4 linked regions of the Tamandua tetradactyla genome follow. The protein of the gene in region 1 interacts with the protein of each later gene in a pairwise test. Links are inferred from orthologs where the notes say so. Each region holds a gene or a part of one and is shown in the gene's direction. Other genes may lie near its edges.

Evidence for each region.
Region 2: the proteins of SMAD4 (region 1) and ATF7IP interact in a two-hybrid assay, tested with the Homo sapiens proteins (2 studies listed by BioGRID and IntAct). The link is inferred for Tamandua tetradactyla from reciprocal best matches to the Homo sapiens genes SMAD4 and ATF7IP.
Region 3: the proteins of SMAD4 (region 1) and RASSF5 interact in binary tests that used the Homo sapiens proteins (3 or more experiments, as listed by UniProt). The link is inferred for Tamandua tetradactyla from reciprocal best matches to the Homo sapiens genes SMAD4 and RASSF5.
Region 4: the proteins of SMAD4 (region 1) and DCP1A interact in binary tests that used the Homo sapiens proteins (3 or more experiments, as listed by UniProt). The link is inferred for Tamandua tetradactyla from reciprocal best matches to the Homo sapiens genes SMAD4 and DCP1A.

The regions. Positions count from the first base shown.
Region 1 is NC_135344.1:31,637,166-31,644,765, reverse strand, and holds the start of SMAD4 (mothers against decapentaplegic homolog 4), read left to right. Parts: upstream 1-4,596; 5' UTR 4,597-5,020; exon of another isoform or gene 5,021-5,284; intron 5,285-7,600. UniProt on the Homo sapiens protein: In muscle physiology, plays a central role in the balance between atrophy and hypertrophy. When recruited by MSTN, promotes atrophy response via phosphorylated SMAD2/4.
Region 2 is NC_135333.1:76,973,598-76,980,551, forward strand, and holds the start of ATF7IP (activating transcription factor 7-interacting protein 1), read left to right. Parts: upstream 1-3,953; 5' UTR 3,954-3,972; coding exon 3,973-4,148; intron 4,149-6,954. UniProt on the Homo sapiens protein: Recruiter that couples transcriptional factors to general transcription apparatus and thereby modulates transcription regulation and chromatin formation. Can both act as an activator or a repressor depending on the context.
Region 3 is NC_135330.1:64,233,934-64,241,264, forward strand, and holds the start of RASSF5 (ras association domain-containing protein 5), read left to right. Parts: upstream 1-4,319; 5' UTR 4,320-4,364; coding exon 4,365-4,821; intron 4,822-7,331. UniProt on the Homo sapiens protein: Potential tumor suppressor. Seems to be involved in lymphocyte adhesion by linking RAP1A activation upon T-cell receptor or chemokine stimulation to integrin activation.
Region 4 is NC_135341.1:32,330,436-32,337,819, forward strand, and holds the start of DCP1A (mRNA-decapping enzyme 1A), read left to right. Parts: upstream 1-4,371; 5' UTR 4,372-4,728; coding exon 4,729-4,968; intron 4,969-6,458; exon of another isoform or gene 6,459-6,579; intron 6,580-7,384. UniProt on the Homo sapiens protein: Necessary for the degradation of mRNAs, both in normal mRNA turnover and in nonsense-mediated mRNA decay. Removes the 7-methyl guanine cap structure from mRNA molecules, yielding a 5'-phosphorylated mRNA fragment and 7m-GDP.

The DNA.
Region 1 (7,600 bases):
ATGTAATACACCATATCAACAAATCAAAGCAGAAAAATCACATGATCATCTCAATTGATGCAGAGAAGGCATTTGACAAGATTCAACATCCTTTCCTGTTGAAAACACTTCAAAGGATAGGAATACAAGGGAACTTCCTTAAAATGATAGAGGGTATATATGAAAAACCCACAGCTAATATCATCCTCAATGGGGAAAAATTGAAAACATTCCCCCGAAGATCTGGAACAAGACAAGGATGTCCACTATCACCACTATTATTCAACATTGTGTTGGAGGTTCTAGCCAGAGCAATTAGACAAGAAAAAGAAATACAAGGCATCAAAATTGGAAAGGAAGAAGTAAAACTATCACTGTTTGCAGACGATATGATACTATACGTCGAAAACCCGGAAAAACCCACAACAAAACTACTAGAGCTAATAAATGAGTACAGCAAAGTAGCAGGTTACAAGATCAACATTCAAAAATCTGTAGCATTTCTATACACTAGTAAGGAACAAGCTGAGGGGGAAATCAAGAAACGAATCCCATTTACAATTGCAACTAAAAGAATAAAATACCTAGGAATAAATTTAACTAAAGAGACAAAAAACCTATATAAAGAAAACTACAAAAAACTGTTAAAAGAAATCACAGAAGACCTAAATAGATGGAAGGGCATACCGTGTTCATGGATTGGAAGACTAAATATAGTTAAGATGTCAATCCTACCTAAATTGATTTACAGATTCAATGCAATACCAATCAAAATCCCAACAACTTATTTTTCGGAAATAGAAAAACCAATAAGCAAATTTGTCTGGAAGGGCAGGGTGCCCAGAATTGCTAAAAACATCTTGAGGAAAAAAACGAAGCTGGAGGTCTCGTGCTGCCTGACTTTAAGGCATATTATGAAGCCACAGTGGTCAAAACAGCATGGTATTGGCATAAAGATAGATATATGGACCAATGGAATCGAATAGAGTGCTCAGATATAGACCCTCTCATCTATGGACATTTGATCTTTGATAAGGCAGTCAAGCCAACTCACCTGGGACAGAACAGTCTCTTCAATAAATGGTGCCTAGAGAACTGGATATCCATATGCAAAAGAATGAAATAAGACCCATATCTCACACCCTACACAAAAGTTAACTCAAAATGGATCAAAGATCTAAACATTAGGTCTAAGACCATAAAACAGTTAGAGGAAAATGTAGGGAGATATCTTATGAAACTTACAATTGGAGGCAGTTTTATGGACCTTAAACCTAAAGCAAGAGCACTGAAGAAATAAATAAATAAATGGGAGCTCCTCAAAATTAAACAATTTTGTGCATCAAAGAACTTCATCAATAAAGTAGAAAGACAGCCTACACAATGGGAAACAATATTTGGAAACGACATATCAGATAAAGGTCTAGGATCCAGAATTTATAAAGAGACTGTTCAACTCAACAACAAAAAGACAGCCAACCCAATTACAAAATGGGAAAAAGACTTGAACAGACACCTCTCAGAAGAGGAAATACAAATGGCCAAAAGGCACATGAAGAGATGCTCAGTGTCCCTGGCCATTAGAGAAATGCAAATCAAAACCACAATGAGATATCATTTCACACCCACCAGAATGGCCATTATCAACAAAACAGAAAATGACAAGTGCTGGAGAGGATGCGGTGAAAGAGGCACACTTGTCCACTGTTGGTGGGAATGTCAAATGGTGCAACCACTGTGGAAGGTAGTTTGGCGGTTCCTCAAAAAGCTGAATATAGAATTGCCATACGACCTGGCAATACCATTGCTGGGAATCTACTCAAAGGAATTAAGGGCAAAAACTCAAACGGACATTTGCACACCAATGTTTATAGCAGCGTTATTTACAATTGCAAAGAGATGGAAACAGCCAAAATGTCCATCAACAGACAAGTGGCTAAACAAACTGTGGTATATACATACGATGGAATATTATGCAGCTTTAAGACAGGATAAAATTATGAAGCATGTAATAACATTGATGGACCTAGAGAACATTATGCTGAGTGAGTCTAGCCAAAAACTAAAAGACAAATACCGTATGGTCCCAATGATGTGAATCGACATTCGAGAATAAACTTGGAATATGTCATTGGTAACAGAGTCCAGCAGGACTTAGAAACAGGGTAAGATAATGGGTAATTGGAGCTGATGGGATACAGACTGTGCAACAGGATTAGATACAAAAACTCAAAAATGGACAGCACAATAATACCTAATTGTAAAGTAATCATGTTAAAACACTGAATGAAGCTGCATCCGAGCTAAAAAAAAAAATGGAGGGGAATGAGTGTAACAATAAGGGGCTCTGGATAACAAAATTTAAAGCTGGAGTGAGACTTACAGGGAGGAGGAAGAGGGTGATCTGGGAGCAATGACAAGGACCAAGGACACCTACTGCAAGTCTAAGCCCTCTCTTTGAGGTTGATGGTTGAAAACACAATCAGCAGGACTTGATAAGGGAAAGGGATAACAGTGTCCTCAGGGGAAAGCTGAGTTGCCCTTGAGCAAGAATGTGAAGGGAACCTGAAGAGAAATAAGAGATTGAGTTTAGAGGAAACGTTATTTGCATAAATAGATTGTGTAGTAGACAGGTTCTGAAGTAGCCCTAGGATCCCTGTCTCCCGGTGTTCACGTCCTGGTAGTCCCCTCCTCTTGAATATGGTTGGGATCTGTGATGTGCTTTTGATGCCAAAGGTGACAGGATGTTTGTGATTATGTTTGTGTGATTATGCTACATAAAACTGTAAACTCTGTCTTGCCGAGAAACTCTTCCCTTTGTTGGCTTTAAACAAGCAAGCTGCCAAACTGTGCGCTTCCCTATGGAGAAGGCCACATGGTAAGGTACTGAAAGGCCCTCTAGCAGACAGCCAGTAAAGGACTGAGGTCCTCTGTCCTGCAGCCCATGAGGGACTGAATACTGCCAAAAGCATGTGACCTTGGAAGTGGGTCCTTTCTCCATGGAGCCTCAGATAAACACCAAGACCTGGTTGACACCTTGACTGCAACATTATAAAGGATGGGGCTAAGCTGTGCCTGGACTCCTGACCCATGGAAACTGTGAGACAATAAATGTATGCTGTTTTAACCTGCTAAATTTGTGGTAATACTGTTATATAGCAATAGATAACTAATACAGATGGGAATGGGAGAAGTTTAGTTATAGCAATGTTACTCAATTCTCTATACTCCTGAGGTGTACGTCTGAGAATCACAAATTGATCCATTACCAAATAATTTTTAATAATTTATAAGCTGACAACTTAGGTTTTCCTTCAATTTTGCTGACAGTGAAGAATTGGAAACCACCTGTCTTGCAAAGCAATTTAATATCAACTTATTAGGGTAGTTCACTTTCTCAGCATAGACACCAAGTTTTTGAACTCTCTTTTTGAATTGCCCTGGCGACTTTTACATCTTGGGTCATGCACCCTAGTAATGTGTGAGTTTGACTTTCTTTTGTAAGGTAGAAAGACAATTTTTAAATGGAATGCTGTGCCTTCTAGGGCTGAACAATTTTTGAGAAGAGTACAGAATGTAGTGGAAGAGTCTGGAAATGAATATCCTTAAAACTGGCCTTGGGACGTCTTCATGAACCCCCAGGTGTATGAAAACGCCAGTATGAAGACATTTGTTTAAGGGGCTTTCTCGTAGAAGAGGGAAGAGCCTGTGGTTTGATGGAGAGGACACAACCTGGCTCTGAGTGGTGCGAAGGTCAGGAGGAGTGGAGTTCCTGCGGGATAAGGCCTAAGAAAGGACTTCAGAACTTTCTAATTGTTAGTCTTGGTGTGACGTCCAATGAGAAGTGGTTCGGAGTTCATGGAAAAAAAATGCCTATGTACATCAGACAGTGTGCTGATACTTTTTAAATTACAAGAGAAATGTCTCGTGAAAATTCAAAAAGTATGGAATGAACAGCAGAGTTTATGTCTTTCCTCAGCCAACAAGTAACTCAGTTAGTGGTGTTGTATGACATCGAAAGTCTCTTTCAACTCTGAGATTCCGCCTAAACTCTTCCAGTAAGAATCACTCACATTTCACAATACCTGGCAAGACTATCAAATATGATTCCTTGGTTAATGTCATGCGCATCTCCTTAACCCGGGGTGATCCAGGGCTGGTAGGAAGAGAAGGAAGGCCCGGTTACCGCCAGTCTCTTCCCGAATTAAATCAGTACAACTACCCTCTCCTCTGAGCTAGATTGGGCTTTTAAAATCTAATTTTTGCATCCACGTAGGTCCTAAAAGAAAAAAAAAATACTCCGCTGACCGCTGATCACAAACACTTAGACGCAAACTATTACGCCGATTCTGTAGGAATGCAGCCCCTTCTTCCATTCTGCTTGTGCACTTTTTGGAAAGGGATGCCAACTTCTTTGATGACCACTCTCTGCATGCAGCCTTTCCCCCACACCATCGTGAAACAACCCCCTCCGCCGGGGCCCAAGCAAGGGCCGGGACTCTCGGCTGTGCGCGGACCAGCACTACCCCGCGAGCGCCTGCGCAGAGCGACTCTACCCGTCACACAGGGCAGGAGGCGGGGGCACTGGGGAGAAGGGAAAGCTAAGGGGGAAAAGGGCCAAACCCTGAAATTACCCGGATGTGGTCCCTGCGCGCGCATGCTCAGTGTCCGTTCGACAAGTTGGCAGCAACAACACGGCCCTGGTCGTCGTCGCCGCTGCGGTAACGGAGCAGCTTGGGTGGAGAAGCCCCCGTTGGTGCCCGCCAGCTCTCTTCCTCGGGCCCTTCTCGCCCTCCCCTCGGCTCCGCGGCCGTCCGGAGGGCGGGAGCGGGTGAGGGGAGCCAGGCGTCCCGCAAGAGAGGCCCCCAGTCGCGGGGTGGCCCGGGAGCTCGAGCTGGTCCGGCCCGCACGGGCAGCGGTGCCGCGCCGAGAAGGGGGCGGACTGGCCCAGGCTCTCTGAGGCGGGGGCTGAGGAGCAGTCTGTATTGCTGGGGGAACAACGGCGGGAGAGCGGACTTCTCTCGCCACCACCCGAGCCCAGGTAACCGCGCCATGTCCCCTCCCCTTCCCCCGGCCAGGCCCGTGCGCCCCGCCCGCGGCTTCCCCGCCCCGGGGCGGGCTCCCGGCGGCAGCGGAGGCGGCGGGGAGCGCGCGGGAGGCCGGAGGTCTGCTGGGCAGAGCGAGCGAGCGCGGCCGCCTGCGGAGCTCAGTCGGGTCGGCGGCCCCTGCGCGTGTCGGGCTGGGCGCGGTGGCTCCAGTCCCTCGAGCTCGGGCCAGAGTTGGTCCTCCAGTCCCTAAGTCCCCTCTTAGTTAGGACGGGAATCAAGTTAAACTCGGAGGGGAAGGACTCCCGCTGCGGCCTTTGCTCCTCTTTGTTATTTAAGTAGTTTCACTGTTTGCCCCGGCAAAGCGCGTTGGGTTGGAGTGTGGACGGGGAGGAACCTTACCTTTAAATAAAAGTTGTAAATAGTTTTCCTTTTTTTTTGTCAAGCAAAAAAATTTTTCTCTTCATCCCTTTCTCTTCCTGATCGTGTCATTCTAGTTTACGTTTCTGGCTTTGTTTTGTTTACTTTTTGATATTGTGGGTGATGGCGGTATGCAGGAAACTGTTTTAGCACCTAATTGAACCGCCATTCCCGCCTTCAGTAAAAAATGTTTCCTAATAAAAGACGTAGTTTATCTTATTGCCAGGACTAAGTGTACAGATCGTGAAATTGGTGTAGCGTGGAGGGCGATGACTCCATCACAGGCCCTAAGCTGCTGTTTTTAATTCTCAAGCTAGATTTTAAAAGAAATGGGTGTTTTTTAGTTAACATGAAAGGTTTCTTTGCGGATATAGAGAGATTTTTTTAAAAACTCTGTTGAAAATGGATAGCTCTTTTCCCTTTGAAAACCCTAGTAAACCTTTTTAAAAAAAAATTAACACATGTTTAAAAAATGCAGTTTTATTAAGATACAGTCACACACCATACACACATCCGAAGTATACACTTGCTGGCTCACAGCATTATATAGTTGTGCATACATCCCATTATATGCACATATTTATCTAAAACTAATTTTGGAATTGGTTTAATTCTTTTAGATTTTGCCCCATAGTTTAGGCTTAAGTTGCCAGTTATTTAGTACTTATAATACAAAATATAGGTAATCATTTTATGTAGCCTGAATTGACTCCAAAGGCATGCGTTCTTGGCTGATTGAAAAAAAGTCTCGCTTGACTTTTTCGAGAATTAGCATCCTTTTAGTCTGTAGCCACTTGAATATTCGGTTAAGACGTCCGGTCAGTACTTGTGCAGGCAGAAACCATTTAGAGCCTTAAAAGGAAATGAAGAAATGCATACTTTTATAAAGAAATTAGATTTAGAACATTGCATTTCAATAAATTACCTTTGCCATATCGGGACTAGATATATTTTAGTTGAAATACAGCTTATGAAATTCTGAGGTGTAATTTTTATTTTTCTGCTGGAAAGCTCTGATATGGTTAATTCATAATACAATTAACATTTAAAAATATGGTTTCTCATCTGTGTTTCTTCCATAATGTGGTCATGATTTTATTTCCTTAAATGGGTTTGTTACAGAACAAATGTAATAGAGGGAGGCCAAACATTTATGACTTGGAGTAACTTTAGTTATTAAGGTGGTGATGAATTAGGTAGGTTTAAGTTATTGGAGTTAAAACTAAAAGCTTTTCTGGAGAAAATTGATAAAACATTTTGTGAGTCTATTAATAGAAGTGGCTTTTTCTTTGCTTTCTAGGTTTTTGGGTGGATTTGCTTTAAAGAGATAATGCATTTTAGTTTTTTTTATTTTTGAAGTGAAATTTGGTTTGAGTGACTTCATTGCAAATCTGTTTCAGACTTCATAAAAGTTTGTGCTGAGAAAGCCTGAATCAGTTTTATGTGATTCATTGACCTTTTATGATGGCTTTCCTCAAAGCCAGTCTGGTTATACTAAGAAGCAGCAAATCTAAAAACCTGTGCTTTACTTTCTTAAGCTGTACTGTAGTGGAGCTAGTTCTCTGTTTGGGTGTGAATTTTTTTGCATTCCCTTTCAAATTTCACCCCTCTTCTCTTAAATTAAAGAATAAATATTATAAACTGATGATTCTAGCAGTTACATTTCAGCTCTCTGGCTTGAAATGACTTTTTCTGATAGAGCCAGTGTTAAGGTAACATCACTAGACACCAGTGTCATTGGGCTGTGAATTGGTGAGATCTTTGCTAGCACAGTTAACTGTACAGGTTCTGCCGAGTCTGTTAAATTAAAAATACATATTTAGTCTTACCTAGTATTTTGCCTATATTGGTGAGAACATTTTATTATTTTTCTTATGTTTAAACTTTCAGTTCTAATTTGTTTCCCTATAGCTCTTGCCTCATGTGTTTTCTTCCCGTTTCCTGTTCAATGACGATTTTTTTTTTGTGTGAAACAACATATATTCAAAAAAGCAATATATTTCCAAGTACGTTTTAACAAGTAGTTATGGAGCAGATTTTAAAGTTTGGTATGGGTTACAGAACCTTGATTTTTCATTTTTTCTTCTAACTACTCCAAGACACTGGAGATCCAAAGAAATATCAGTATAATGATTCAGCAGTTATACTCATTTGTT
Region 2 (6,954 bases), on another chromosome or scaffold:
CCAGAAAGAGAATAAATGTTCATCTGATTGTGGAGAAGAAAATAATTTATTAAAGATCTTGCCAGAAGGGGTACACAACCGCAATGTGGTGGCTGGTGTGCCAAACAACAGGAGGCAGAAACATTTATTACCTAAGCCTAACACGGGAATCACCCTCCTCTGTTTTCTCATTGTCTGGGTACTCCAAAGGTTACAACCTACCTGAGAGGTCTAACTCACATTTTTTTCCCATATAAGGAAATGGTGCCAATCATTAAGCATACATAAGAGGCTCCTTCCCCCTTCCCAACTGTGGAACTGGTCTGGGCTGGTTTTTCAGCCTTTTGTTTAGTAAATTTTGTTTTCCCCCATTCCATGCCATTTTGTGTGAAAACTAAATTTAATTTTATTCTTACATACATAGGGATGCATTGCATAGAGATATATAAACAACAAGTAAGATGCAAATACAGGATTTGAATTCATATAGTTAGTTTCAGAGCATATTTTCTTAATCACTACTTTATGCTATGTTTTATAAGTATTTAGAAATTTCAGTTTTCTCCTTTGGCTATTCTTTTTTGTTTTCCTTCTTCAATTGCTGCAATTGAAGTTCATTTATTTTATTTTTGGTTTTCTTTTACTGTTTTTTTCTTTTCTCTTGTGAGATTATCTGATCTGCTTTACTATAGCAATATTATTTAAGAAGAATGTTAGTATGAACCAATAAGGCTATACATGGATAAAATGTGGAAATACTTTGGTCTGATTAGTAAATAGGTGCCAGAGTTAGTTTGCAGCTGTATGTACCCCCCCCAAAATTAATCTATCCCTGTGGGTGTGAATGCATTGTAAGTAGGATCTTTTGTTGACGTGACTTCAGCTGAGGTGTGACCTACCTCAATCAGGGTGGGTCTTAATCCTGTTACTGGAGTCCTTTATAAGTGGAATGAAACTCTGACAGAGGGAGAAAGCCATGGAAGCAAGAAAAGAAATCAACAAAACCCAGAAGAGAGGAGAGAGATGAATTGACAATGCTTTGTACCTTACCATGTGGCAGAGGAGCCAAGAATCGGCAGCAGCAGGTCTTTGGGACAAATGCATCACCCTGATGCTGCCTTTATTTGGACATTTTCTTAGCATCAAAACTGTAAGAGAATAAATTTCTTTTATGTAAGCCAAACCATTTCATGGTATTTGCTGGAGCAGCCTAAGAAACTAAAACATTGTCCTAACTCTGAATGCCCCTCAGTTCCTAGCTCATGACTCCTTTATTTCCACATAATTCAGCAATTAAAGGATTAATATTTGATAAAATAAGGGGTCTTCATGCCTGCTTTCATTCTGATTGATAAGTGCCTAGTGCCATAGGGACTAATAAACATTTTGAATACTATTTCTCCTAGAAGTTGAATCCAACCCCTATTTATTCTTTGTGTTTTCTGTTTTATCTAACCTGAATTCTCTTTCTTTTGTAGCTAGTTTGACAGTCAGACTTTAAATTCTGCATGATTAGTCAGATCAAGTTACATCTCTGTGAAGTTTTTCCACATAATAAGGAAGATTTGGGTGCTCTTCTTTTATATTTCTTTTATACTTGGTATATATCTTCCTAGTAGTAAAGTTCTCATATTTATCTCTATATATGATTCTTACACTTATAGACCAATGGCAGAGGCAGTGTTATTTCCTTTGGGCATCTCCAGTGTGTGTAACAGTATCTGAATGCAGTATAAATAGTATGCGTGTTGAATGAATCAGTTAGATTAGTTAGATAAAATAAACAGGCAAAGTGGCCAAAGAGACTGTTTGTAAAAATGTGTGATTAGGGATATCTGGCAAGATTCAAATAAAATAAAACTAGGTATTGGGAGACAAACATAGAATGTGACGTTATCTAAGACAACTGATCAGTGAATTAATGCTAAACTATTTACTCTTTTCCATTAGCACAATTCAGAGATTCCGTTTATTTGCTTATTAAAGAAATATAAAGAGAAACCTAATGGGTTTGATTATTCCAATCCCATCTCTATTGTTATAGAATGGAACTCTTTTTTTTTTTTTTGCATGGGCAGTCACTGAGAATTGAACCTGGGTCTCTGGCATGGCAGGCCAGAACTCTGCCTGCTGAGCCATCATGGCCTGCCCTATAGAATGGAACTTTTAATATTTATACTAATATTTTAATTTACTGAGCATATATTTTATAATTTGAGCATCTATGTACTAAATAAATTATGCCAAAATTTTATTATAATTGAATACCTATTTATCACTTGAGCACTCTTAAATACTATGTTCTGTGCTGAATATTTACAAAGTTTAGTAATTAATGAATGCAAATCTAATCATGTCATTTCCTGACAAACTCTTTTAAGAGATTCCTTATTGGCTTCAGGATAAGGTACAGGTTTTGATAAAGAAATTTATTAAATCACCTCTGATGTGAGATTCTCTCACATAAGGAGGAAGAAGGAAGGCTGTTATGATTCCTGAAGTCTGGATTAGGTAATCCTTTTAAAAGCTATTCTGTGTTTCAAACCAGTTGAAAGTCTCAAGTTATAAAAATATTAAACACCCTGTGCTAATCTTGTATTACTTAGAACATTTTTCTTTTTAGTTTTCCATCTCTTCCACTAGAGTATAAAATTCTTGAGAAAAGGAACAGTGTCATACTCACTGTTTAATTCCAGCATCTAACATATTTCTGGAGAAGAGTGGGGTGGAGAAGAGTGGGGTGATTGCTAAATAAACAGTGAATAGATAGATTAAGGGAGAAATTCCTTAAAAAAAAAACCACCACCAAATCTTAGGAACTGATAAGGCTCCTCCTCCTTTGCAAAACACATTTATACTACTTATCTCATCAGTTGACCCTCTCAACCAACTTGAACCACAGGCAATATTTCCACTTTACAGATGAGAAAACTGAGTAAAACACTTATTCCAGCCAACAGGTAAGTAAGAAGTAGAAACATGATGTGAGCCCAGATCTCCCAATTAGTAGGGTAGTGCCCTCTCTACACCTTGTGGTCTTCAAGTGAATGTTCATTACCAAGGTAAAATTGAATGCGATGGACACAAATTTTGGTGGAAGGATATGATCGGAAATGCTCGCTGTGTCACAGAAAACTGAAAGAAAAGATATCTTGTCTCCATTTCCTCATTACTAATACAGTTCAAAGTATGTTTTGTGAATTAAAAACAGAAAAGAACTAAATATATTCAGCTTCCTTTTTTGAAAATGTTTTCTTAGTTCTTCAACTCTCACATATCCACTTCCTTTTTTCTTTCCTATGCCTCATAGAGGGCGCTCACAAAGTGCTTTACTCACTGATTGTACAAAGGTCCACTCAGAAATACACCTCACGCTGCAACTAAAAGTCGCAGCGCCACCACCTCATACTTCCTTCTGGTTTCCACGGTAGGAGGCGGGGCCAAATTTCCTCATTCAAATAAAAACCCAGGATATTTGCATGGGGAACGGCCAGTCCGTAAGCCTATTGGTTGATAGCCTAATGGGCGTGGTCAACACACGCGCACGGAGACCCGCCTACATTAATTTGCATAACGGCCCCGGCGCGTGCAAGAGAGAAGCGGGTTTGTTTTTGAATCTGCGGAGGCGGCGGCAGCAGCGGCGGCCCGGCGGCTGAGGCGCGCGAGACTGAGGCGGCAACGTTCGGGACGGCGGCGCGGGACGGCTCTGTCAGAAGGAATTTGGTTCCCCCTCCCTCAACTCCCGCCCCAAAAGGTATATGTGAATCCCAGGGGCTCTTATGACCACATTTTCTTGAATTTCTATTGTATTTCTGAAGAGTAAAGACCGCATTATGGCGGCTGCTGGAGTTGTGTTTGCGCCTGCGCGGTTGCGGAGTTGCGGACGGGCGCTGCATGGGAGCACGTGATCTTGCGGGGGTAGGGCTCTAGCTGCAGTTGTGCAGCTTGGCGGGGCGGTGGCTGCGCAAGCGCAATATTCATTTTCAAGATCTAATGTTCTTATTGGGCGCCATTTGGGTTCTAGATTTATTTTTCCATATTTTTCAGGGGTTTCATTCTGTTGCCTCCAAATTTCCATATTTTTCATGGAAGACCTTTATTTTATATCTTATTTCTTTACCGACTTCAAGCTCTCCTCAATTTCTCCGATTCTCTGAGAAGCTGTGGAGGTGATTTTCTGTAAAACTGTGTGACTTGTGGTTCTCGATTATAATTTCATTTTTTTTGGGTGTTGCTGAATTCATGTTTTATTAGGAAGTTAACGATCAGTTTCTTGCATCTAATAGTGTTTTCCTGGGAAGTGCATGTATTTGAATTGCATATTAGCAAATATTTAACCCTATTTTTACCAGTTCTATCATGGTTGTGTGGAATGTTTGCAGAATAGAAACAATTTGTGTTTTGAAACTAATAGGGGGAACCTGGGAAGCAGTGAAAGAACATACAATGTAGTTTTAAAAGAAACCTCGTTTTTTTTTTTAATCTTAACTAAGTTTTAATTTTTATAAGTTTATGTGTCTCTGAACCTACTTAAATGTGAATTTCACATTTTTTCAGTCTTCGATCACTTGTTTATTTCTGAAATACTTAATTTTGGTTAGCTTATTATTGTTATTCTTTTAAAAATCTTTCTTATTTTATTTGTCAGTATGAAAATTATACTTCACAGTGAAGTATAATACTTGGTCAATTGTTCTGATAAAGAGTTCCACAAAGTCCCAACTACACTGAAGTCTTTGTGAGGAAAACAAGTAACCACCAGTAAAACTTAGTTGATTGTTAATAACTCCCATGTTAATGTGTAGAAGATACAATTGTTTTAATTTTTTTAATAGTGTGCTTGATTTTAGTTTCTTGAAAAAGGTGGTTATAATTGCTCATGTATTATTTATTTAGTTCAAATAGTCTCATTTTAAGTCGTATATGACTCCTCTGAGTGAAGTTATTTGATATGATTTCCCATTATGCAAATTATTTCTTATGAGGCTAAAAACTTGTAAAACAATTTTCATAAACTTTGTCAGTGGTTTGTATATATAACAATTTGTTTAGCATTATATAGCCCTAAATTTAAATCATTCTGTCAGTGAAGAAGTGGCAGTGTTTTATAATCATGGTCAGTTTGGGAACGTTTTTATTGCCTTAAATCAACCTCCTTGGTAACTATTAACTAGATTTAATTGAAAAGGATAGTTTTGAATGGTGGATATTTAAATGATGTCACCAGAGATAGAGTGATAGGAAACATTTTTTTTTCTCATCAAAATCTTTAGTATGTTTCAAATTTAATTCCTTCAACTCTGAAGTCTTCTATGCAGAAATGTCTTTCGAGGGCAGTTGTGTAATCTTGTCCCTTTATTCTTCTGGGGTGGTTACCCAACACTCCCCTTCCCCCCACCCAAGAACGCGCGCACAGACACACACACACACACACACACACGAACAAATCCAGGATAAACACTTATTTCTGATAGTTTAATGTTGCAAATATGTCATTTGAAAAAACATCTGTGTGTGTATGGATATGTAGATACATATTTAGGTTAAAAGAACTTTGGTCTTAGGGCATAGTTCCCTTTGCATGTACAGAAAAATGAAATATTTTGGTTTATATATTTCAAATTTGGCTTTAGCTTGAGTATACATATGATTGTTTTTTAATTAATATTGAAAGTCATAAGAGACACTTGAAAACACTGAAGAGCATAATGTACAATGTAAAATCTATTGGGAGGACAATTTTGCTGTCATGTTTTTAAAAAAAGATATAATACAAAAAAAGTAAGGTTAATGAACTGTGTAACCATGCACTGTTCCTTAGTACCCTGTTAGTAACCATATTCTGAAATTTTAGTTTGGTGGTTATGATGCCACAAAATTTAGACACATGTGGAGCCTGTATAAATATTAGACCAAGTTACTGAATACTAAGTGACTGGGGTTGTTTAAAATCTTTCTAGTTTTGTGAATTTTAAACATAGCCATAAACCATTAAATTTTACTTTTTTCTTTAAATCATGATTTGAATATGTGACCTTTTTTTATTTATTATAGAATGTTTCTGAAATACATTGAGAAATAAGCACTCTAAATGTTTTAGTGATTTTTGCGAAATTGCTTTTCCAGGCTTGATAAATCTGTCAATTTTTATTGATCTATTATTTTTTCATTGGGATCACAATTTTATTACTGCTTTTTCAACTTAATATTATATTGTGAGTATTTCTTCATGTCATTGTTCTTCTAAAATGTTTTTATTGGCTACATAATGTTGTACTGTGAAAATATTTCCAAATTATGAAACATTCCTCAAACACATGATTTTGAGTTGCTGTGTAATATTGCTATATCAAGTAAGAACGTGCTGTGACTTGCTAGGCCTTGTGTTTTTTTTTTTGTTAAATTTTGTCTTGTCCATTTCTGTATTATAAGTAATGCTACAGTGAACATCCTTATATAGCTCAAACTATTACTTTGAAATTACCATTTCAAAGGCTTGTAAGATAATTTTCCAGATTGTTGCAAATTTAAATGTCTTTTGAAAAGTATTTCTCATACCACCATCAAATTTGGTGGATGAAAAATAGCTCAGCAGCTTTCCTTTGATAACTAGTAAAGTTGAATTTTTTAATGCCTTAACCATGCATTTTCTCATTTTGTGAATTAGCTCTTTTTTTTTACTTTTTCTATGGTGGGTGTTAATGTTTTCTTACTTGTTTATAAGAGCTATTTATGAATATTAGTTCTTTGCTTTTCATATTTGTTTTAGCATTTTTTTTTGCCGATCAAATACCTTTTAAGTTTTTTATGGTTTTACATATTCAAAAGTTTTATGTTTTTATGTAATCACACATACTGCGTTTTTTCCTTTGTGATTTCTTCCAGAGCTTCTCTGCCTAGAAAATATTACCTTTTGTGAGATCAACTAAATGTTCATCTATATGGCTTATTTTTTCCTAGAATTCTAAATTTTTT
Region 3 (7,331 bases), on another chromosome or scaffold:
TCCTGTCATTTTCTATTCTATTTTAAAAATAAAATGCTTTGTTTTTCATCATAGTACTTATTATGACCTGACACTCTATCACACTCATGTCTGCCTGTGGTCTGGCTCTCCCACTAAAATGTAAGCTTCATGAACATGCCCATTTCACCGTTGTATCTTCAGCGCCTAGAGCAGTGCCTGGTACACAGTGGATATTAGAGAATTAGGGAGCATGACAAAAAGTTGAAGAATTAAAATGTTTGTGACGGTCCCTTGTAAAATGCCAGAGAAAGGCATCGGCCACCAACTCTTGGCTTGAACGACTGCGCCACATTCTGTGAAATGGCCAGCATTCCCGTTTTATAGATGGAAAACTGAAGCTCAGAGAAGTCACGTGACTTGCACAAACAGGCATTAAAATCTGGCCTCAATAAATGAGTAAGTGTTCTATGCCCTTGAAAATGGCAGTGGTCATTAGTGCTGTTTGTCAAATATTTCCAATTCTTTCCTCATTCTGAGCATACTGTAGGATCACACTTCTTGTCCCCTTGGGGCCATTTATAGCTGGTTCTGGCTAATGAGCTGTGAGAGGAAATGGCTGAAGCTTTTGAAAGCTGGCATGGCATCCTCCGGGTTCTCTCGATCCCCTCGGGCATGGTGACTGGTGACATTAGACACGATGGCTGCTCCATCAGTCTGGGCCCCTGAGTGACTGATAAGCCAGGGTCCCCTCTCCAACCTACAAAGGACAGGTAGTGTGAATGAGAAAGACGTCTCTGTGTTTAAAGGCCCTGAGATTTGAGAGTTGTTCATTACTGCAGCATAACCAAACCTATCCTAATAGAGCTGGAAATCCTTTGTGCTACTCTCAGAACCACAGGGGATTCCCTAGATGCCTCGGGGATTTCAGAAGACATCAAATATCTCAAAGCCAAACAATAATAAAATTTCCCCCTCAGAAAGTCAGGTCATATTCTATCCTCCCCTGTTCCTTCCTACCAGGGAGATTTGTGGGGGATGGGGGGGGTGGGGGTGGGTCAACCCTTGGAAAGACTCACCCAATAGGGAAACCAACATGCTCCGGGACCACCTCTGAAGTGACTTTGCACACTGACCACACACTCAAAACCCTGCTGTCATAATCCTCCCCCTTGAGAAAAACTAACAGCAGCACACCCACGCTGCTGGGAGTGAGTCACAAGCAAAAAAGTCCGCAGCTCCAAGCCAAGAGGGTCTGCCACCACTGAGAAGAAACTCTCACTGGAGCTGTCAGCAGACGCTGAGGTCTTAGCCCATAGCCTGGATGGCCAAAGACCAATCCAAAAGTTTTAAAGTCCAGGCATCAGACGCTACCCCATGCAACATCCTGACTGCACAGAGAACTAGGGTTTACTCCATACTTCTTCCTTGGAAAGGAGGAGGGAGATATACTGTGTGTGTGTGTTTCTGTGTGTGTGTTGTGGGAGGGGGTGCTTTTTGGGAGGAGACTGGGGGCTGCATAGAAGGAACCAAATGCTGAGCAAGAAGCCTTGTGCTGAGGTGGCGGGGGGGGGGGGGGGGAGGCAACTACCTCCCCCGACCTCATTTTCTTGGCTCAAAGAGATGAACCTTAAGATAAACTTGATAAACTTTTTGGACTGGTTGCATGGAATTATGTTATCTCCATATTCATCTCTGTTCCCATCCCAGAAGTTAGGAGGGCTCTGAGCTGCCCAATCTCCCTCCCGCTTTCAGTGCTAAGAGCAGCCACCACCACTTCCCCAAATCAGAGCTGCAGCAATAAAACAAAAACTGGAGCAATTTCTCCGTACGGCTCACACAACTGGAAAGGGCTTTATGCCTGATTATCCAGATAGCCCTTAGCTTCCCAGGGCAAGAGGAGCCCCTTCTCCCCCATGAGCACTGCTCTCCCGGAAAACTATGGGGCTGGGCTTCCAAAACTATGCTGGGGAATTGGGGAGCAGGAGATGGTAACTGTTGGCAATATATCAAAAAGGCCATTTCAAAACTGATCTTCAAATGAACTCTTTGCTAGATCCCTGCTTTTTCTTGCCACCCGAAGCTGTCACCCAGAGTCCAAGCTGGGTCCAGACCCTGAACCTCACCCAGGCCAGTGCACTCCTGGGAGCCAGTGATCTCCCACCAGCTCTGGTGCCTGGAGAGATAGATGGATAACAGAGGGTGGAAACAGGCAAATATTTATATGCAACACATATTTCTGCAACAATTCCAAGAGACCTGCTTGCTGAAAAAGCGGGAGAGACAGGAATAAGAGACCACAAGGCAAATTGTATTTTTCCCTTTTACATATTCAGCAGAAACCATTCAGGAATTGCTCCCTTCTGGCTGTTCCACTGAACCGTTTACCTGCCTGGTGAGGAATCCATTCTCCCATCACCATCTTAGATCTAAAGCAATGGTTCTCAAGCTGGGGTCCTTGGATCAGTAGCATCAGCACTACCTGGGAAACTGTTAAAAATACAAAATCTCAAACCCCAGCCCCACATCTGATGACTCAAAAAACTAGGGCTGAGGCCAGTGATCTGTGATTTAACAAACCCTCCGGCTGATCGTGATGCATGCTGAAGTTTGGAAACCACTGATGTAGAGAAAGTACTGTTCAAACAAGGGAGAGGAAAGGTGGAGGATTGTGGTGCACGGTCCCCTAGCTCAGCTGCCTTCTGCCTTGTAGCACTGGGGATTGGCTGCTGTGGAGCCATGAAACAAAGCAGGCTGGGAATTTCCTAGGCATTAGGCTCTAGAATTTTTAGGAATTACCTAAAATTTACCTCCAAGGGGGGAAAACAAAAGGTGAAGATTCCCCTACTGGACACTAGGGGGAGACCCCTCTCTGGTCTGGGAGAAGGAGGGGAAGTCTCAGGTCTAGCAGGATTCAGACTATTCCCCAAGTTGGTTGCTGGTGACCGCTGCTAAATCAACCAACCCAACCCCATGCTTTAAGAGGAAAGTTGTGGTCATTATGTCAGAGTGTGGGAACCCGAGAGGACAGCAAGCCTGGCTCCTCACTCCCAACGCAATTTGCAGTTCAAACTGGGGCTAGAGACAGCCAGGATACACAGGTATGTGCCAGGCTACATAGGTTGGATTCAAAGACCCAGGAGTCCCCACTCAATCTCAGTTTCCCCACCCAGGAGACAGACCTGGTGCTATTCTTTCCCACACTAAATAGGGCAAAGGTACTGGTCAGGCCCAGCTACATTATTTGCAGGGCCCAGTGCCAAAACGAAATGTGGTACCTTCGTTTAAAAATTAAGAATTTCAAAATGGTGACAGTGGAGTATCAAACGAGGCAGGGGTGGAGGTAGAGCCGGGTGGGGGGACGCAGTAGTCTATCCTGATCCTGGTAGAAAAGGGTCTCTTTGGGTCCCACAGAACTGTCCATACCTGGTGCAAAGTAAGGCTATTTGGGGGTTGGGGTGGGGGTGGGGGTGTCGGATCTCCAAAGTAATTACTCGAACAGCTGGGAGAAAGGAGCCTTTGACTTAGGTAGAAAAAGTCCCTCAGCCTACAGGGTGCGAGGGCGTTCTCACACTCCAGGGCCCTCTACCAGTATAACTCCAGTCTTACGGGAAAGAGGAATCTCCAATCCCGCAAGGCTGCGGAGGAAGGGGAAACCCGAGAGAGAGTGAAAGCCGCGCGCGCACAGTCGGCTGCGCCTCGCAGGCGGCCGGGGTGCACAGCCTGGGAGCGTCCCCCGAAGCGCGCGTCCCTCCGCGTCACGGGACTCGGCGCTGCTCTGCGGGGACGCCACCGCGGCGCACACGCACTCCCCCGCCCAGACCCGGCTTCGCAAACCAGCTGAAGGCGACGAGGGAAGGAAGCACTGTTAGGGAGCACATTCCTCCAATCGGCCTGAAATTGGGGAGGGGGCGGCGGAGCCCCGGGACCTCCTCCTCCTTGGGTTCCATCCTCAACTAGTTCCTAAGCTCTTCCCTCCCATTTGGGCGTGCTGGGGTGCGGGTGTCGGGGAGGCGGGGGTGGGGGGTGGATCGGGTATTGGTAGAAGTGAAGGAAGAGGGAAAGAGGCAGGGCTGAAGGCAAAGAGACCCTACAGGAGGGCTTTTTCTGCATTGTACTGTACAGCAGCTTTGCTATCCTAAATCCCAGATGTTCAATAGACTTCCTGAAGGCGCCCCCTAAACCCACACTCATGCTCGGACAACCCCCACAGTACAACCTTACCACCCGGTCCGTCGGCCTTTCCCTCGTGTCGCCCTTCCTGCCTCCCTGAAGTCTCCCCGCCCCCGCCCCGCCCTGTCGGCTGCGGTCCCTTTAAAGGCGCGCTGGTGTGGGGCCGCCCCTTCTCTCGGGGCTGGCTCGGGAGCTGCGCCTCGCCGGGAGACAACCGCCGCCCCTAGCCGGGCATGGCCATGGCGTCCCCGGCCATCGGGCAGCGCCCCTACCCGCTCCTACTGGACCCCGAACCACCGCGCTATCTGCAGAGCCTGAGCGGCCCCGAGCCGCAGCCACAGCCCCCCGGCCGGTCGTCGCGCCGCTGCGCCCGCGCGCCCCTCTCCGCTGCGCCCGGGGCGCACGATGGGCGCGGCGCCCGGAGGACTTCCCGGGAGGACCCGGAGCCCCAACCCCGGGCTTCCCGACCCCCTCGCCCTGTCCGGCCGGGTCTGCAACAGAGACTGCGGCGGCGGCCCGGAGCGCCCCGGCCCCGCGATGTGCGGAGCATCTTCGAGCAGCCACAGGACCCCCGCGTCCCGGCGGAACGAGGCGAGGGACACTGCTTCGCGGAACTAGCGCTGCGGGCGGGCCCGGGCTGGTGCGACCTGTGCGGACGCGAGGTGCTGCGGCAGGCGCAGCGCTGCGCTAGTGAGTGTGGGGGCCGGGCAGGGGAGGGGCGCGCGCAAGACCGCAGTCCAGGGGCGAGGGACTGCGACAGGGCTGGGAGAGAGGCGGCATTGCCCTCTCTAACTCCAGGACAGGCCCAGACTTTAGGGGAAATAGTCCTTGGAGACAGTCTGCTCCTTCGTCCCCTACCCCGTATCCGTGACGACTGTCACTGCCCAGGGATGGCTGTGCGGTAGGCATTCTACCAATACCCCTTGCCTGACCAGTGCACGCCTTCACCTCCCCACATGCGCTCAGGCTGGGATTGATAACCACAAGGTCATTCCTTGTCTTCCATGCCCCCCGCATGTTTTTATCGTAGGATCTCACTCTGACCTTGGGAGGAAGGGCAAGACCAATATTGAGATGGCCATTTGACTCTTGCTTATTAGTGAAAATGGCAAAATGGTTTGTTTGTCCACCTACGGTGTGGGCCCAAACCCCTCCTCCAGGGGGACCTGTTGAGTCCTGGCTGAGGCCATGCCTGGGAAGGAGCTGTGGGTTGAAGGGAGGCTGAGGTCACCCTGCACCTGTGCCCCTGCCTGCCTTCCACATCTGGCCACTCAGACCTTTGGACTCAGCTCTCATGTTTGGCTGTGCCCTGCCTCCTCCTCTTCTTCCTAGGCTCCTACATCAGTGGTTGGTCTTTAAAATTACCCAACTCCCGGTGGGGTCCCTCCCTCCCCAGCTCAGTCCCCTGCAGCCTTCTCCTGAGCCAGGCTCTTCTCAAACCTGACTGTAAAGCACTGGGCACCCAGCATGTAGATTTTCTGAGCAAATCTACAGTCTTCCTGAAAGATTATTATTTTTTCTTACTACAATTAGGCATGTATATTCCTTTAACTGTGTCATCCGTGCCCCCTCCCTCCTCTGTCTTTCTCCCATATTTGTTGTTGCCGTGTTTGGCAGAGGATACCCAGAGGCGTGTGTTTATGTGTTTGTATAGGTATTTCAAATATCTGAAGCACAGATAATGGCACAACCTCCAAAAAGCATTTCTTGAAATGGTCATGTTTGCATCCTTCTGCAGCGGCCTTCCCCCTGCGACAGCAGCTCTGCATCTCTCCTCTGACTGCAGTGACTTCCACATCAGGAGGCCCCTACCTTTCCTCTCTGCAGGCCACAGCCAAGGCTGGGCATGTGCCTCCCACTGCAGCAGGCTGCGGGGAAGGGGAGCTCAGACTCTAAGCCGGGGCTAAGGGGGAGGTGGGAGATTGGAGGGGAAAGTCAGAACTCATAGTTCAGGTGCTGATTAAGCAAGAAACAGCAGAAATTCGAGAGTTGTGTGCTGTGGGTGTTGAGGACACATGTGGAAGGCTGCTGTCACTTGGTAAATGCCCCTGACCTTACAGAAGAATCCAGAACAACTTGCCCAGGGATGTGTTGGCTGCTTTTGCCCTTTCTAAGTTCCTGATCCACCAACCAATACACAGGGGAGAGGCAGAATCCTCACTAAAATGGGTTTTATTGTTCTGGAATCCCAGGAAATCTGCTTCATTGGAATTCCAGTTTGTATTGACTTTTGGAGACTACATCAGCTGTTGAACATTTTGCACGTTTTGATTTTTTTTTTGGTTTGGGTTCTTAAGAGTCAGAGGTATATTTGCATATGTTTGTATGTGCATATGCAGAGTACTCAGCATGAATTTATCCCCACTTCATGCTAGAGTTGTTTATTTCCTTTGCTTAGTTCCTAAATACCTTCTAGTGGCAAGAGAGTTGAATCTCCCAAGACCCAGGTTCACGTGGCAGTTCCTTTGACTTTATGGGACTTGGCCCACTTTCCTGAGTGCCAGCTCCCCCCTTGCATCACTGCTTTAATACCCTGCTCCCCAGGCCCAGGGATGGTTGACCACCGGAGAGGGAGCAGAGCTGGAATCAGGAAGCCACAGGGAGGAGTCTCGTTATTAATACTTAACTAATTGTGAACCTGTGGCTGGCTGGGAACGGTTGAGAAATATTCTGATGTGCGAATGAGGGCTGGCAAGTGGAGTCACAACAAATCAAACTCACTGAGTATCTTTAAGTTGAAGGTCTAGTTCTGTAATGGGTTTGATTTGTTTTATCTTTATTTTGAAAAGCAAGGGCCAGAGATATGACTTTAAAAAGCCAGGGCCTATGCCGTGATTAAGAGCACAGGCTGGGACCAGAGGGCCTGGGTTGGAATCCTGCTTCTGTATCTGTGTGACCCTGGGCATCTCTGAGTCTCAGTTTCCTTCTTTACAAAATGGGGAACATAATATTACTTACTTCATCAGGTTAAGGTGAGGCTTAAATGAGTTAATATACACATATATGTCAAGTGATGGAATAGTCCCTAGCAAAATGCTTTGTAAATGTTGGATGCTGTTATTTCTAGCCCGCTCCCATCTGACAGCTATGCAACAATTAGTTGGAGCTCTTGACACCATCTAGTGTCACCTTGGCAAGCAACGAGTACAGTTTTCAAACTCTGGTTTCCTGGGCTTAGGGAGGTAGCGAGTGAGCGTACC
Region 4 (7,384 bases), on another chromosome or scaffold:
GCTGGCAGATTTGGAAGAAAACACTGATCACCTGACTTGAATTCCACTGTCCTTTTCACTAGACTCCATAGTTTTAAATGGCAAGTTTTATTTCTTACCACAAAGCCTCCCAGAGTGGCAGAGAAGAAGTGGATTGATTGGCTTTTTAGGCTATCATTTTTATAACTATTTTTAATTTTAAAAAACATGAACATACATGGTACACAACTCAAAAGTGACCAAGGGTTATTCACTGCAGAGTAAACCTCCCTCCACATCTGACCCTAGCCATCCACTTCCTCTCCCCTTCCTCAACTCTCTTGCATGGATTTAAAGGAGTTGGGTTTTAAGACAAAATTCATTCAGTGAATTTACTGAGGGTCTACTTTATGTGATAGGTGCTGGAGACCTAACAGGCGAAAATACAGTCTTTGCCTTCTCAGAGCTAATTGTCTAAAAGACACAAGAAAGACCTTAAGGCCCAATTCACAAACATAAGGCAAAATTAGGCCTCAAGGTAAATGAGGATGGTTTTCAATTCCAAAATATTCACTTCGTCTTTAATATATCTAAGAGCTACAGCAGTAAAGGGCATGAAAGTCAATATTAACATGTTCGGGGCCATGCAAACATGCTTTGTGAAGTGACTTTTTATTCAAAATATGAAAACCCCCTAAAATAGCTGGGTATTCTTCACTAGTCTAACACAACCAAAAATAGTAAATAAAAAGAAAATGTCATATTTTAAGAAATTCGTGTGAGAAAAAAAGTATTCTGTTTCAGATATGCCTTTTGAAATTTGTACCAGTGAATGTATTACCTATTCAAAAAATACACATTTGTAAAAAAATAGGATACAGATTCGTGAAACCCTTGATTGAAGGCAGGTAAAAGGGTATAGGGCAACTGCTTCTTGTCACTGTGAGGAAGAAAGGCAACTTGGGAGTAGCGGAAAGGAACCTAGGGTAGAAGGCAGGGGCCCTGAGATTCTATCACTGGATGCCTTCTGATTAGTGTGTCACTTTGAGCCAATGATTTCTCCTCTAGGGCCTCAATTAAATAATCTGTCAGTCATTATGCTGAGTGAGATTAGCCAGAAACAAAAGGACAAATACTGTATGGTCTCACAGATATGAACTGACATTAATGAATGAACTTGAAGAATTTCAGTTAAGAGCAGAGGTCACTAGGAGCTAGAAACAGGATAGATGTTGGGTAACTGGAGCTGAAGGGATACAGACTGTGCAACAGGACTGATTGTAAAAATTCAGAAATGGATAGCACAATACTACCTGATCGAAGCACAATAATGTTAGTACACTGAATGAAGCTGAATGTGAGAATGATAGAGGGAGAAGGGCTGGGGGCACAAATGAAACCAGAAGGAAAGATACACGATAAAAACTGAGATGGTATAATCTAGGAATACCTAGAGTGTATAATGATAGTGACTAAATGTACAAATTTTAAAAAGTTTTTGCATGAGGAAGAACAAAGGAATGTCAATATTGCAGGGTACTGAAAATAGGTGGTCATTCATATTTTAAAACTTCAACTTCTGTGTAAGACTAAAGCAAAAAAATGTTTATTTGGTACAAAATTTATATTTTGACTAGCACATTTCCTAATATAACCTATATAGACAGGTTAATTGAACACCATAAGTACATGGAACCTTGAATAGGGCATGAGATTTTGTAGGTTTGTCCAATGTGATGCCCCAAGAAATTACAGAGTAATTTAACAGTGAATAAAAAAGTACTTGCGAAGTCCCCTTGGGGGAATGGTGAGAAAGAGCAGAAATTCAACTTCCCCATTTGGAGAATTCCTGATATTGTCGCAAGCAGTCGGGACAACCAAATCAATAGGCTGAGTCCTCAATCTTGGGGTCTGTTCATATGAAGCTTATCCCCACAAAGGATAGGCTAAACCTACTTAAAATTAGGCCTAGGAGTCACCCCCAGAGAACCTCTTTTGTTGCTCAGATGTGGCTTCTCTCTCGCAACCAACATGGCAAGCAAACTCACTGCCCTCCCCGTCTCTACCTAGGGCATAACTCCCAGGGGTGTAAACCTTCCTGGCAACGTGGGAAAGAAATCCTAGAATGAGCTGAGACTCAGCATCAAGGGATTGAGAAAACCTTCCCGACCAAAAGGGGGAAGAGAGAAATGAGACAAAATAAAGGGTCAGTGGCTGAGAGATTTCAGAGTCAAGAGGTTATCCTGGAGGTTATTCTTACACATTATATAGATATCCCAATCTAATTTAAGGTGTATTACAGAGGCTAGAGGGAAGTGCCTGAAACTGCAGAGCTGTGTTCCAGTAGCCATGTCTTAAAGATGATTGTATAATGATAGAGCTTTCACAATGTGGCTATGTGATGGTGAAAACCTGTGTCTAAAGCTCCTTTTATCTATGGTATGGACAAATGAGTAAAAAATATGAATTAAAAATAAATAAATAATGGGAACAAATGTTAAAACTAATTGAGTTGATTGAAATACTAGTGATCAATGAAAGGGAGTGGTAAGGGGTTGTGCTGGTTTGAAAGGAAGCATGCCCCCTAAGAAAAAGCCATGTTTTAATACAAATCCCATTTCATAAAGGTAGAATAATCTCTATTCAATACTGTATGTTTGAAACTGTAATGAGATCATTGCCCTGGTTGATGTGATTTAGTCAAGAATGGTTGTTAAACTGGATTAGGGGATGACAGTCTCCACCCATTTGAGTGGGTCTTGATTGGTTTACTGGAGTCCTATAAAAGAGAAAACATTTTGGAGAAAGAGATTGAGAGAGAGCAGAGAATGCTGCAGCACCACAAAGCAGAGAGTCCACGAGCCATCGACCCTTGGAGATGAAGAAGGAAAATGCCTCCCAGGGAGCTTCATGAAACAGGAAGCCAGGAGAGAAAGTGGAGATTGATGCCTTGCTTGCCATGTGCCCTTCCAGCCAAGAGAGAAACTGACTGTGTTCGCCATGTGCCTTTCCAGATGAGAGAGAAACCCTGAACTTCATCGACCTTCTTGAACCAAGGTATCCTTCCCTGGATGCCTTTAATTGGTCATTTCTATAGACCTGTTTTAATTGGACATTTTCTCAGCCTTAGAACTATAAACTAGCAACTCATTAAATTTCCCTTGTTAAAAGCCATTCCATTTCTGTTATATTGCATTCCAGCAGCTAGCAAACTAGAACAGGGGTATAGAAAAAAAGTAGGGGGAACAAAGGTTAAAATATATTGGGTAGATGGAAATATTAGGGGTCAATGGAAGGGAGGAGTAAGGGGTATGATACTATGATTTTTTTCTTTTTTCTTCTTATTTCTGTTTCTGGAGTGATGCAAACGTTCTAAAAAATGATCATGGTGATGAATATACTACTATGTGATGGTATTGTGAGGCACTGATTGTACACCATGTATGGAATGTTTGTATGTTAAGAATGTTCGTGTTTGTACATTGTTTTGGCTTGTCAATTAAAAAAAATAAATAACACTAATAATCTGTCAGTGAGGATGACCACATTTTCCCCAACTCAGCACTGAGCTGTTAAATGAAATGAAAGGGAGTCCTTACCTTTCTTCACTGGCACTCCAATGCAAACATCATTTCTTCCATGAAGCCTTCTTATATTGCCAGGCTAGATGGAGTTAGTGGCTCCATCCTCTGTGTTTCAGAAAAGTCTCTAGCATTAATTATCCCTGTTTCCTTGCTTTGTTCTACTTCTTTCATTTCTCCCACACCCAGGAGGTTGTCAATAGACTTTGGAGCTCCCAAGGGAGCCAGTCCACAACTGGGAGTTCAATAAATACTTGCTTAATGAAGGGTGACTGAGCGATACTCTCCTTGGCCTCATCTGTGCTTCTTATATGATTTTGTACAGAATGTAAGACATAGAGCCTCTTTCGATTAATACATACTCCTAGGATGTAAAATCATAAACACATACATATTTTATAGTGTTATTTTAATGAAATTATGGATTTTTAAAATTTCGAATGTTTTGCTTAACTCTGTTAGCGTATCTTTTAAAATTTAAGAAAAAATGTTGCTTTTAAACAAGTCTGTGGGGACAAGAGCTCACTGTGGTCTCTGGACTTAGTTTTACTTTTTCACTATCAACAACATCTGCCTCTTTAAAATGCCTCAGAATTTTCAACAGATATTTGCCAAAACAATGAGTGGTATTTTTAATCCTTTTAAATGATGCACAACTCAGGCCTTCATGGGGCCCTTCCAGGACCGGATAGAAATATTTACGCGAGACTCAGACAAGAGAAAAGAGGAAGCGAAAGTGGGCAGCAATAAAAACGTCTATGAAGTTTCAGGTGAGTTACTTTTTTCAAATATCTCCTTCAGAAAACAGCAGATTGTAAACGGTGACGATCTGGTGAGATTTGGGGTAATTTTCGGGGTCTCCCGCGTCCCCTGTCTTTCGGTGCTTTCTAAACGTGTGGCGTCCCCCATTCTCGCTGCTGCGTCCCTCGCGCGAGAGCCGGAGGCGGGCTGGGGTGAGTCTCGGATCCCCTCCGGCAGGAACCCTGAAACGCGCAGGAACCCCGGATCTTGGTGCAGGGACGTTTATGCTCGCGGAAAAGAACCGCCCGGGAATCCGGCCGCGAGTTCAGACGCTGTACAGCGGACGTCGGTCGGGCTGGGCAGGGAGAACCTGAACATGCCGGAACCTGGCAGCCGAAGTGCGCGGGCAGCGGAACACAGTGATTGCACCCCGCAACACCACAATTAGATGCGGAAGTCGAAGGTACTGACGCACCTGGGGAACTTTGCCTCGATGGCACCTTCCGGTCCTCGACTCCGCCCCCACCGGAGGGGCTCGGCTCCGGGATTCAAGATGGAGTCGCTGAGTCGAGCTGGGCAGGAGATGAGCCTGGCGGCTCTGAAGCGACACGACCCCTATATCACCAGCATCGCAGACCTCACGGGACAGGTTGCTCTATACACCTTCTGCCCCAAGGCCAACCAGTGGGTGAGTGTAGTCCGGCCACGGAAAACGGCCGCTCGGCCGCCACCGACTCTTAAAGGGGCCGCGCGGGCCGCCATAGTGGTGGGGGGTCGAGGGGGTGCGATAAGGGAGGTGAGGGTGGCGTGAGCTAGGTCAGGGACTAGTGAAGTTCGCGATCGGAGCCGAAATCGTGTCAGGACCTCCTGGGGCTGTGGGGAGAGGAGCGAGGAAAGTAGGCCCAAGACATCCCGGGGAAAAGAAGCTGGAGGGAAGGGTTAGCGCAGGGTCGAGTTCCTTTGGGTCAGGGCCGGGGTCGTGGTCAGCCTGTCTTCTTTGAGGATGTGTGGGGTGATAGAAGACCAGTGGAATCAGAGGGGTACCTGAAAGCTTGTCTCTGAGGCTTTAAGGGATATTAAGTAATTTACGTATACTTGATACATAAACACCCCTTTCCTATTCACAACATGCAAAAATGGAAGTCCCCTCTGCAAAGGACATTTAGATTTAAAGCTTGAAATCCAGTTAGTTTCAATTCTTGGAAGAGGAGAGTAGGAGTGAGTCCGGATTTAATGCAACTATACTGTATTTCCAAAGTTTGGGGAAAGATTTCAAGACAAGAAAAGGGCTCCATGTTATCTGGGTCGCCTTGAGACTTTTGGAGCGCCTGTAAATATGTTTAGTTCCAGCTGTGAGATGCTGGTGATGTCACCTCTGAGTGCTCCTGTCAGATTAAGTACATTTTGACTTCTTTGTACGGGAGAAGGTCCGAAAGGTTGCATTCAATCTGTTAACTGACCTTTCTTCGCCTCTGCTTGAAGTTTGTAGTTTAATTATTTGTTTTCTTCTAATTGATCGACTCAGTTATAGACTTGAAACTTAGAAAAAGTTTGTGTTTCTTACAAACATCTGTAGCTGACATTCATATCTTCAAATAAAAATAAGACCCTACACTAACAAAAATCTGAAGGATTATCACTGTAATATGCCCCTTACAGTATAGTACTGCTGCATGGATTATAGTTACCAGTAATTTTGTGAAAATCATTTGGCAGTTGACAATTTTAAACAGTTAATTGGGAAGAAGAGAGTTTTCAAAATCTTGCTTTAGTTTATTTTATTTCATGCACCTTCTGGAAGGGATGGAGGTTGTTCTTTTTGCCTCAAAGAACAAAATTCTAGTCCCCCCCCCCCCCCAAGGAGTAGTTGTTGTAGACATTGCCTTAGTTTGAATTGTTGTGAATCATTTTTCTTTTCTTAGCCTGCGTATAAATTTGTGGTCGGGTGCAAATGTGAATCGTGGACAAATGGTGAAGACTTGGGGCTGGAATTTTTCATTAACGAACTTTTATTTCTAGTCTTCACAAAGATTTTCAGTACTTTGAAATTTTAATTGTGGATTTCTGTTTTAAATATGAAATACAAACTATAATAACCTGGATTTAAAAATAAGCTGCCATTGTTTATTGGAATCATGGCACACGGAATATAACCAAAATCTTTTCTTTGTTTACTAGTAGGTCGTAACTTGCACAATGGAGTAAATGAGCAAGTTTTCTTTTACTGTAAGACAGTAAAAAAAATCCTTGAGAAAATTCATGATGATTTAAGCTAGGACAAAACTGGAAAAAAATCAAGGTGATAAATTTTTTTATCCCAAAAAATTCAGTTTGGTGTGACTAATATGTAAAGTTTTTCTAATAATTTGTTGATTACATTAAAATATTTAATTTAACCTGCATTGTGAACTGCAGACTTATATGGTTATTTTTTGTTTAAACACTGTAACTGTGTTTAAAACCAAAATACACTCTTGTCCAAGCAAATGAAGATAGTAATGAGTTGTACTTCCTTAAAACATTTTCACTTTAAGCTAAAGAAAATTTTAGATTATTTGTTAGAGGTATAATTACATCATAGTCTCAATATTCATCATTGTTCAACAAAGTTCTAAGAATAGCAAACTGTGTTTCACAGTAATTCTTAACTAACCAGGAGATTTGTTGCTCATGAAAATATATCAAAATCTCCCAATAATGAAACAAAGTATCCTATAAACTAAAAAAGTTCTCTTTTTTTCTAGCTTTGATAAACTGTAAAAGTGAAGAACTCCTGTACACAGGACCTTGGCTTTAAGATGAAGAAATCTGGCTAAAATATTTTGGCTAAAATGTTTACCTAAAAAAATTATAGAAGTGAAAACTAATTCTATTATATTCTTCTTTAAAAGCTAAAAAAGAAAAAATGCTGCAGAAACAGACTTGTTGCTAGATGAACATTGCTTATTGCATCAATCACATTGAAAGAATACATACGAAACTGGTGACCGTATTTGGTGGAATGAGAAGGAGACTTATTTCACTTGTCCAAAAGTGGTTAATTTTTTAATAAATAAAGTAGTTTATCTGAAACATGAAGTGTTGCTTCCCTGTTGGGGCTCTTT